Saccharomyces cerevisiae S288C: one gene and its partner. Changing the gene in region 2 together with the main gene of any one other region gives a genetic interaction. Each region holds a gene or a part of one and is shown on either strand. Other genes may lie near its edges.

Region 1 (5,829 bases), on a different chromosome or scaffold from region 2:
CACTTCAATTTACAACCAAATTTCACTAAATCGTTAAAACTACTGTGTTCAGAATATGGTACGTTAAAAACTTGAAATTTGTTGTACTTTTTGTATTGCCTCAATATACTCGAGATTTCAAACCCATTCTCATCATCATTATCTCGATCATTCTTCATTAGTTCTAAGCAATATTCTGTATTGCCACTCATTTCATTCTCATCATCATCGTTTTTCTTTTGATATTTTAAACCAAAATTGTGACTCCACCCGGTAGGTATAAACCCGACAACATCTTCAATGTCTTTCACATAGTCTGTTTCCAATTCTTTTAAACTTTTCAAGTAAGCTTCTATGGTTTCTTGACTTTTCAACACTCTTATAGGTACCAAATGTACGGATGATTCATGTAAATTGCTGGTGAGTAAGCTTTCGTCCCACATGTCATTTTGATTTTCGTTGTTTTGTAAAACTGTTAGCATCATTGAAAATTTAACGGAATTCGGCATAACAAATAATTTTGTTTTCAAAAATTCACATATCTTGATGGCTAGCTTCTCTTTTCCAATAGTATATGTTCCCACAAGAAATAGGACCCTGTAACGATGAGTTGTCAATGTTTTCTTTCTCTGAAAGTGAAAAAGGTTCCTTTGTGAATCTCCAAATGTTTTGTTTTTACCATGTTTTATAAGCCGTAATGTAAAATCAGCCACAGTCTCGCACACAGAATGTTGTGAAGGAAAGTTGTATCCCATAGTCATATATGTTGTATCTAAATAAACTTGGTCAATAGTTTCATTCGCTGTCTCGGCCAACCACTTCTGAATTGTCTCAATCATTTTGGCGTTGCTTCGAAAATCCCCCGTGTGAAGAATTTGTCTTATAGGCTTATCATACGAATTTGCCAGAAACTCCTGGAAAAGCATTATTATTGCACCGGGACAATGGTTAGCGTCCAACGTAACTACTGAAATGGTATCTGTTATCCAAAAGCGTTTATTCATGGGTAAAATTTGGATTTCATCCATTGGAATTTTGAATTTTAAATTTACTAATATTGCAGTGATCTTAGAACAGTAAAGTGTTTTCTTGATCGGATTCTCATCAGGATTGTTCCAAGATTTTTTGAGTCCAATATAGTGATCAGAATGAAAATGAGAAAGAAAGTACTGAGAGATAGTCTCGCTGGCCTTATAATTGAAACCATCCACAACTATTTCGTGGCCATTATTGAACTTAATTATCTTGAAACTTGGTAAAACAAGTTTTACTCTTGTTGGTTTTTTTGACGTAGCTATATCCCTCTTCGTTTTTGCAGGAGATGATGGATTAGAAATAAAGCTCCTGATATTCTTTTTAGGTGTTCCCATATTGCTCGGGTCACTGCCTATGCAAGTATCACAGTGTGTCTCTCTTTCGTACAATTCTAAATGAGAAAGGTTTTCTAGACAAATAGGACATTGAATAACTTCTGTAGAGACTTTAACATTTACTTGCTCCTCCAATTCCGTTACTATTCGATCTTCGGTCCTATTTTCTATTGCGCTGACTTCGTTATCATGCAAGCTAACTAGTTCTTCCTCGTCTGTGTCTATGGTGATTTCGACCTTTGCAGTGTCTTCAAGGCAAATGCTATTGTGATCGTCATCGTTAATAATTACTGGCTCTGTATTCTTATTGGATGTTGAACAACTGAACCTTGAGAATGAATATGAACTGGAACGGACAGGTAAGTTCGATGAAGTTGGGATGTTGAATTCTGTCAAAGTTCTCTGCCTTTTAGAGGATGTATGTGTGTTCTTATGAAGAGTTTTCCCCTCACTTGTACTGCTAGCGGTGCTACTTCGTTTCCGCTTTACTTCAGATCTTCTTATTTGCACTATAGATTTCCTTGACATAATCAACCGACCACCCAAATTAGTCACTAGTGCGTATGCTGCTTAACATGAGTTTTGACGCAGGTATTTGATTATGTTTATATTGCTATTTTACTAGTACTTTTTCAGTCCGTTTCCATGACAAAATCTAAAAAGCCATCGCACTAATTTATAAAGATAATAAGAGGGAAGCTTAAGGTGTAGAAGAATACATGGGACTACTAAGTATTATCAGGAAACAGAAGCTCAGGGACAAAGAAATTCGCTGTCTGATTCTAGGACTAGACAATTCGGGGAAGTCAACGATAGTAAACAAACTATTGCCCAAGGATGAGCAAAATAACGATGGTATAATGCCTACTGTGGGTTTTCAAATACATAGTCTGATGATAAAAGATGTGACAATATCTCTATGGGACATTGGGGGGCAACGCACATTAAGGCCATTTTGGGATAACTATTTTGATAAGACACAAGCGATGATATGGTGTATAGATGTGAGCCTTTCAATGCGGTTTGACGAAACCTTGCAAGAACTAAAAGAATTAATCAATAGAGACGAAAATCGAATAGGATACGAGTGTGCTGTTATCGTTGTGTTGAACAAGATTGATTTAGTGGAGGACAAGTCCGAGCTTCATCGAAGGTGTTTACTGGTAGAGAGCGAGTTGAAGTGTCTGTTCAAGCCGGACATCCGAATAGAGCTCGTCAAATGTAGTGGCGTTACCGGAGAAGGTATTGATAACCTGCGTGACCGTCTGGTGGAATCCTGCCATTTTACCCAATAATCGTCTAAGATGTGAGCACCATATAAAAACTTTAAATAATGTCAGTATTTATAGCGTGATAGTTCATTACCCGCCGACTGTGCGCATTCGTGGCTTCTGCTCACTCCGGATAATAATACTACCAAGGGGTTCTGTAAGGCTTGCGGGTTACAAAGCACGGGTCCATTGAAGATCTTACACAAGAAGGAGTGGTAGGAAGACCAGCAGATTATTTCCAATCGGTCGTTGCCATTGTCTTATTTCCTTTTCTTTCTGGCGCATTGCATTTTAACACCTTTTTTTCCAGAATAGCCAACCACCGACGTCTGATTCACACATTACTGGGCAAGATCTTGACATAGCATTACATTACAACACGGCAACACTAATCACGCAACGCTAGAACTCGCGCAGGATGAATATTCAAAGCAATAATTCTCCGAATCTCAGTAATAACATAGTGTCAAAACAGGTTTACTACGCCCATCCTCCACCTACGATAGACCCGAATGATCCGGTGCAGATATCTTTCCCTACCACCGAAGTAGTTGGGCATGGTTCGTTTGGTGTGGTATTTGCCACTGTTATTCAAGAAACTAATGAAAAAGTTGCTATTAAGAAAGTCCTGCAAGATAAACGATTCAAGAACAGAGAGCTGGAAATAATGAAAATGCTGAGTCACATAAATATAATAGATCTGAAGTACTTTTTCTATGAAAGGGACTCCCAAGATGAGATTTATTTAAATTTGATACTAGAATACATGCCACAATCTTTGTACCAGAGGTTACGTCATTTCGTCCATCAACGTACGCCGATGTCAAGATTGGAAATAAAGTACTACATGTTTCAATTGTTCAAGTCATTGAATTACCTCCATCATTTCGCGAACGTCTGTCATAGAGACATTAAGCCTCAAAATTTATTAGTAGATCCTGAGACCTGGTCCTTAAAACTGTGCGATTTCGGCAGTGCAAAGCAATTGAAACCTACTGAACCTAACGTTTCCTATATTTGTTCACGGTACTATAGAGCACCAGAGCTAATCTTCGGCGCAACAAATTATACCAACCAAATCGACATATGGTCCTCTGGCTGCGTAATGGCGGAACTGCTATTGGGCCAACCAATGTTCCCTGGAGAAAGTGGTATTGATCAACTAGTGGAAATCATTAAAATCTTAGGTACTCCATCAAAGCAAGAAATTTGCTCTATGAATCCCAATTATATGGAGCATAAGTTCCCGCAAATTAAACCAATACCATTGTCACGTGTTTTCAAGAAAGAAGATGATCAAACTGTGGAATTTCTAGCTGACGTTTTGAAATATGATCCACTAGAAAGATTTAATGCTCTACAATGCCTGTGTAGTCCATATTTTGATGAACTAAAACTTGATGACGGTAAAATAAATCAAATAACAACTGATTTAAAATTGCTAGAGTTCGATGAAAATGTCGAATTGGGCCATCTATCTCCCGATGAACTATCATCTGTAAAAAAAAAGCTATATCCGAAGTCTAAGTAATGATAGCACCGGAGGGAGCCCAGGCAAGAATAATGGGAGAAGGAAGGAACATATATACGTATGTCTTTTTTTAGTACTATTATTACTGTTATTATTATGAGTATTGTTTTTGTATTACCATCATATTCTTATCATTATTAGTAGTAACAGTATTATGTTATCATTACTGTTATAATGAATACAAATTATGAAAAAAATAAGGTAAAGCCAAAATAAATTGTAACTTTTTTATGCCATTTCACTTCGAATTATGTATAAAAGCCGTATTCTTTGCCAGTACGAAACTATTTTAATGACACCTTTACTTTAACCGGGTAACAACTTCCTTAAATGGGTCGACAAGGTTTTTAGAGTATAAAGGGGCAAGTGAAGGTTCATCATCGAGCTGATGTAGTGGGTGTTTTAGTAAACGAAGAAGCACCTTAGAACCAAATAATCTAGCTAGTATAAACCGAACCCAGAGTAGCAAACAAACCATGGGTAATGTTCCAGGGAAAATAGACCAGGAAGATAGTTTTAATGATGTCAGGCCAGATTCCTCATATAATACTACATCATCGAATTCTGTCATCAAACAATATGATGAAGAAGCCTCTTCAAGGGTGAGAACGAGACGCACGACGTCTTTGGTCAATAATATTTTAAATGGGAATAATGCTCGTACAAAAACTGGTTCTCATCTATCCAGCACTAGTAGAAGAAAGACGTCACGGGAAAAAGAGCTTGCTAAAGAGGCACATGCTAAACAATTGGTTGTGAGGTGTAGCGAAACTGTAGATGGGGGGTTTTTGGCCCCATTTGGCTGTTATTCTTTTGAAAAGTTGGACTATGATGCTACTGTCGTTAAAAATTTAATAATCAAAAGAAAGTTAGCGCCGTTTTACACTCCTTTGCAGGATTTTGATGAAAGTTGGACTAGAGATGAGTTGATAAAAATTGTTGACGGATTGCCCTTGCATGACACGTTCGATGAAAATTTGGAAGAATTCGAAGACGTACCGATAGGCAATTTAAGGAAGTCAACATTTAATGAATTAATAGACAAATCTTTATCCAAGAAGGAACAGAGAAGAATGCACGCAAAGATTTTTAGAGCAAGATTGTATAAGAAAAGAATTTTATGGCAAGAAAATGAAAATGAGACGTTTTTGGAGAGGAAATTGGAAATGAAAAGAATTGGCAGCAAGTCCAGCAATGTTGAAGATAATACCAGTAGCCAGCCAAGGAAAAATTACCATTTACCAAGTGACGATTTGAAGTATACTCTTTACAAAAATGGGTCGGAATGCCCTATTTGTTTTTTATACTTTCCAGGGCCTTTCAACTATTCCAAATGTTGTCAACAGCCTATTTGTACCGAGTGTTTTGTACAGATTAAGAGAGCTGATCCTCACTTCCCTCATGACGAAGTAGACCCAACTGAACCACAAACTAATGACAGTGAAAAGGACCCAAATCTTCTTACCTCTGAGCCAGCAAATTGCCCCTACTGTGCAACTGCTAGTTTTAGCATCACTTATCAACCACCCACAAATCGTGAAACTGGTATAGGGGGTATGCCAGCCGACTCATACGTGTATAAGGACGCCGCCATATCAAGAGCTGATGGCGGTCAGCCAAACATATCAGCCATTACTTCGGATACCATTCGTCCTGATTGGGAGATTAAATTGAACAA
Region 2 (5,706 bases):
GAGGGAACAATGAACTTGTTATCGAGCAGTTTTTGAACTATTTTGTTGATTTCTTGTTCATTCTTTTCTGTAACATGGTATGGCTGTAGTCGAGGTAGTCTTGCGCCAGGTTTAATTTCAATATCATGTTTTACGGGGATGTTGTTAATGTCGGCAGGTCTTGGTGGGAGATCATTACGTATGATCTCTCTATACTTCTGTTGTAACCAAACTGGCAAAGTGCAAAAGGTGTCCTTATTGCTGTGATCAGTAGCATTAGGTTCTACACTCTGAATGGTTGAGACAACGTTGGAGTATTTTCCATCCTCTTCTAGGATGCTCGCTTCTTCAGGTATCGGGAATTGCGCAAATGTACTTTGAGTACTACCTGGGTTATCAAGGGTCGTAAGCGGGTCAATTGCTGCAGGAGTAGTGGTTGCAAGAGACAGGGTTTTGGTTCTGGAGTCACCACGATTACCAGCGGATTTCGGGTCAGTTGCTTCGAGAATGGTGGGGGCAAGAGACAGTTTTGTGTTTCTGGGGTTACCACGATTACCAGCGGATTTCGGGTCAGTTGCTTCGAGAATGGTGGGGGCAAAAGACAGTTTTATGTTTCTGGGGTTACCACGATTACCAGCGGAGTAGGTTCTAACGTTATTAACGGTTTCGGAGCGATAAGTCTTGGGCTTTAAGGAGTCGGGGCTCTCTCTGGTATTCAGTACTGTGTGCAGGATTTTCGGGTAGCGGCGTAAGATTGGATTTCCAATTAACAATTGGTAGTCCATGTTATCCAGTATGTACGCGGCTAAAGTTATCTGCAGGTCATTGATTTTGAGGTCAATGGTGACTGCTTCGGATGTAACGGCGGATTTGGTGGCTACGAATCCTCTAAAACGGAGTGGAGGGGTCTCGTAGATTTCGTATTTGAGAAGTTCTACAATATCTCTTCGGATAAATGACGTGGGTGATCCACTGTCAAACAGGGTTTTTACTTTCGTGTTTTGTATTTTTATGGTTTTTTCGGCGGTATTGTCCATCTCGGGGATGGCGATATAGTGTACAATTGGTAAGGTTTTGATAAAAAGAGTTTGTTGGTCTTTTGATTCGAGTTCAAGATCGGTTAGAACTCGCCTTACGTGCTCTACATTCGTTCAGGCGATGTCCCTCTTTCTTACAATAGAAGCATAGCCGATTTTTTATACATTCTTCTCTGGATGCGTTGTTATTTCTCCTGTTTCGATGATTTGACATTGGTTTATTGTAAGATCTTCTTGTCCTTACGGTGTGGACGTATCTATTCTGGGTCAGATTATCTTCTGAATCATAGTCAGAGTCGTATTCTTCTTGTAAGTGGGTTGTGGCACCGATGATAGTGTCTCCATCAGCATCAAGTTCGAATCCTGGGAAGAATCTTTCAGTTAGTGCGGTTGTCTGGTAAGCCTCTTCCATGGCGTCTTTTAATGTCTCTGGTTTGTGCATTCTGACAATATTATAGGTTTCCTTTGTCAATAGCCTAGTATATGTCATTATGGCAGCTTTTTCGGTCATGAAGTCTGGTGGCATTCTGTCCCAAATCTTTCTGAATCGTTGGTTGAGACGCTCAATACCAAGTTTAGCTTCGGAAAGTTGCGTGATTGCATTAAAGATTTTATTGATATCTGGTGGCTTATAGAAATGTTGATATAATCCTTGTATGAATGTGTCGAATGTTATTTCAAGTATACCTTGTTCTTGTACAAAATCATTAGCCCACTGAGCAGCGGGGTTTAATAAATGTCTTCTGCAGTACACAATACGACTGGCATCATTCGGCCAAGATATCATAGACATGTTTAGCATTATTTCGGAGATAAAGTTTTTCAGTTTATGCGAGTCATTTCTACCTCTGAAGGTCAAAGATGGTTGGATCGGGAAGTTAGGAAGGCATTCTACTGGGAGTTTTGGATAATTTCCTCCTCCTGGGATTTGATCCATAAAGCTCATACTGGGGTGTGGTGTAGCTAGGTTCGGCTTTTCGATGGTTCGTTTGAACAATTAGTAACCTTTAACGCTACCAGGTGTTGTATTACGGGCTCGAGTAATACCGGAGTGTCTTGACAATCCTAATATAAACAGTCTTAGGGAAGTAACCAGTTGTCAAAACAGTTTATCAGATTAATTCACGGAATGTTACTTATCTTATATATTATATAAAATATGAATCATACTAAGTGGTGGAAGCGCGGAATCTCGGATCTAAACTAATTGTTCAGGCATTTATACTTTGGGTAGTTCAGCTAGGGAAGGTCGGGTTTTGTCTCATGTTGTTCGTTTTGTTATAAGGTTGTTTCATATGTGTTTTATGAACGTTCAGGGTGACGTATTGTCATACTGACATATCTCATTTTGAGATACAACATGTTCCATGATATGGAAAAACGTATACCAGTGCTACAAACCCTGTTAACAATTAAATTCTTATTACTTCTTGCACAAAGATGCTAACACTTTACAGCTTTGAAAGTAACAGGAAGAAGTGATGCTGTGACAATTAACAGGGTATTTTTTTTTTCACTTCTACTTAAATCGGAGTTACAATTTATGATAAAAAAATCAAGAAAAAAACCTGATTATGCTAAGAAAGTAGAGGCGACGATGACCACCTATGGCCTAACCTAACTATGAACAGATGGTAGGCTCTAAATTGCGTGCCTGAAATCTGCGGATTTGATATGTAGGCGATGTTTTGGGTATTTTCCACCAACTTTATTGGCAAGGGAAGAATTCGATGACCCGAATTCGCCAAACGACAAAAACTGGAGGAGTGACCTATTGTTAACGTTTTTTTTTTTTTTTTAAAGGCATTGTCATCAACAGGACATCTGTATAAGAGGCTAAGACAATTACGCACACAACGCTTTTATTAGTTGTCATAAACTGTGTAGATTAGCAGCAGACACTCCTTTTTTTCTTCATACTATAGCAATGCCACCTCTACCCGTGCTCAACAGACCTCAAATTCATACGTCTGTTACTGAAATAAGTCATGCAATTGATCGTACAATCAAGGAAGAGCTCTTTCCCGTTGCCTACACTACTGAAGAAGAGCAATATTTCAAAACTAACCCTAAACCTGCCTATATCGATGAATTGATTAAGGACGCTAAAGAGTTTATTGATTTGCAGTATTCCCTGAAAAGGAACAAAATAGTTCTTATCACCTCTGGTGGTACTACTGTTCCATTGGAAAACAATACAGTACGTTTTATCGATAATTTTTCTGCAGGTACTCGTGGTGCATCGAGTGCTGAACAGTTCTTAGCGAACGGATATAGTGTTATTTTCTTACATAGGGAATTCTCATTAACTCCGTATAATAGGTCCTTCTCCCATAGCATTAATACTTTATTCTTGGACTACATTGATTCTGAAGGTAAAATCAAACCTGAATTTGCTGAGAATGTTTTGAAGAACAAAAAGCTTTATGACAAGTATATGGAGAAAGAGGAGAAACTACTTTTACTACCATTCACCACGGTCAACCAATACTTATGGTCACTGAAAAGTATAGCCAAGCTATTGAATAATAGTGGTTGCTTGTTTTATTTAGCTGCTGCTGTCAGTGATTTTTTTGTTCCATATTCAAGACTACCTCAGCACAAGATTCAATCAGGAGACAACGGTAAGATGGGAGCAAATAATGACACTGAAGGTACAACTAGGACTACGCCTGATGGTAAACTGATTGTGAATCTTGACCCTGTCCCTAAGTTTTTGAGAAGATTAGTGGAATCATGGGCCACTCAAGCGATGATCGTTTCGTTCAAATTAGAAACTGATGAATCCATGCTGCTTTACAAATGTACACAAGCCCTGGATAGATACAACCATCAACTGGTTATCGGAAACCTTTTACAGACAAGAAACAAACAGGTCATTTTCGTATCCCCTGAAAACAGAAAGGGAGATTGGGTACGTTTGGATGAAAAACACCATAGCATTGAAGAGATGATAATCCCAGAAGTCATCGCACGCCATGACAAATGGGTGGCGCATTCGAAAACTAAGCTAGCTACGAAATAAAACATAGCTCTTGTCTGTAATCAAAAAAATTTGCGTCAAAAAAAAAAATTAGATGTATGTAAACCTTTTTATTGAACTGAAAATTTATCTTTTATCAAATCTTTTTCTTCTATGCCTTAATTATGTTTTCAGGTATCTTTTTTCTCATTATTTAATTTAGCTTATGTATTGATCATTTCGCTTGAGATTTCAGGAAGAAAAAACGCAAACAATTTTTCAGCTAAAATGAACCCTTGGAAAAGCTTTAAGAGAACAAGAGAAACTGTAGAGCTCAGTGTGCATTGTCTTCAAGATTGATGGCTATTCAAAAGGTTAGTAACAAGGACTTGTCCCGCAAGGACAAAAGAAGATTTAATATCGAATCTAAAGTTAATAAGATTTATCAAAATTTTTACTCAGAAAGAGATAATCAATATAAAGATAGACTGACAGCATTGCAAACGGATTTAACTTCTCTGCATCAAGGTGATAATGGCCAATATGCCCGCCAAGTACGAGATTTGGAGGAAGAAAGAGATCTAGAGTTAGTCAGGTTGCGCCTGTTTGAAGAGTACCGTGTTTCTCGTTCCGGTATCGAATTTCAAGAAGATATTGAAAAGGCTAAGGCTGAACACGAGAAACTCATTAAATTATGCAAAGAAAGACTGTATTCGTCTATAGAGCAAAAAATAAAGAAATTACAGGAGGAGAGGTTACTAATGGATGTGGCCAATGTGCACTCCTATGCCATGAATTATAGCAGACCGCAATACCAGAAGAACACGAGAAGTCACACAGTAAGTGGTTGGGATTCTTCGTCCAACGAATATGGAAGAGATACAGCAAACGAAAGTGCTACTGACACGGGAGCTGGAAACGATAGAAGAACGCTAAGGAGAAGGAATGCTTCTAAAGACACGAGAGGTAACAACAACAATCAAGATGAATCTGATTTTCAAACTGGTAATGGTTCTGGAAGTAATGGCCATGGTTCTAGACAAGGGTCGCAATTCCCCCATTTCAACAACCTAACCTACAAGTCAGGCATGAACTCTGACTCAGATTTTCTACAAGGTATAAATGAAGGTACTGATCTATATGCATTTTTGTTTGGCGAAAAGAACCCCAAAGACAATGCTAATGGGAATGAAAAGAAAAAAAACCGTGGTGCTCAACGATATTCCACCAAAACAGCTCCACCTTTACAGTCTTTGAAACCAGATGAGGTCACAGAGGATATTTCCTTGATCAGAGAATTAACAGGTCAGCCTCCGGCTCCTTTCAGACTAAGGTCTGACTAATTTATTTTATGCTGCAAACCTTCCACTTTAACTTTGTATTATATTACATTAGATGGTTATATTTCAATGTGAGCTCTTTTTGTTTTTGCTTTCTTTTCTCGGATACAAGTGGAAAACGAAAAAAAAAAATTGGCTAAAATTTACTGTATACATCAGGCTAACAATCTGTGATTATAGGCACAGTTGTACCAAAGAAGGGCTAGAATATACATCATAATTAGATGCAATTAGCATGGCTATAAGATTGAATCCAAAAGTCAGAAGGTTCTTGCTGGATAAGTGTCGACAAAAACGATATGGTTTCCTCTTTTTAGGATGTATCTTCGCCATACTTTACTGTATGGGGACCTGGCCATTTTTCGCAAAAGATATTGTACATGATCCA

The links. A genetic interaction does not mean that the proteins touch.
Region 1: mutations in CAB2 (region 2) and RIM11 together harm fitness more than expected from each alone (negative genetic interaction), as found in Saccharomyces cerevisiae (2 studies listed by BioGRID).

What each region holds. Positions count from the first base shown.
Region 1 is NC_001145.3:543,087-548,915, forward strand, and holds RIM11 (serine/threonine protein kinase RIM11), read left to right. Parts: upstream 1-3,038; coding exon 3,039-4,151; downstream 4,152-5,829. Other genes in the region: DNA cross-link repair protein PSO2, read right to left, coding at 1-1,877; Arf family GTPase CIN4, read left to right, coding at 2,069-2,644; SIP5 (Sip5p), read left to right, coding at 4,628-5,829. UniProt on the Saccharomyces cerevisiae protein: Serine/threonine protein kinase that is thought to function in regulating kinetochore activity and entry into meiosis. Could phosphorylate IME1.
Region 2 is NC_001141.2:201,891-207,596, reverse strand, and holds CAB2 (phosphopantothenate--cysteine ligase CAB2), read left to right. Parts: upstream 1-2,943; coding exon 2,944-4,041; downstream 4,042-5,706. Other genes in the region: SDS3 (Sds3p), read left to right, coding at 4,338-5,321; KTR7 (putative mannosyltransferase), read left to right, coding at 5,554-5,706. UniProt on the Saccharomyces cerevisiae protein: Catalyzes the first step in the biosynthesis of coenzyme A from vitamin B5, where cysteine is conjugated to 4'-phosphopantothenate to form 4-phosphopantothenoylcysteine.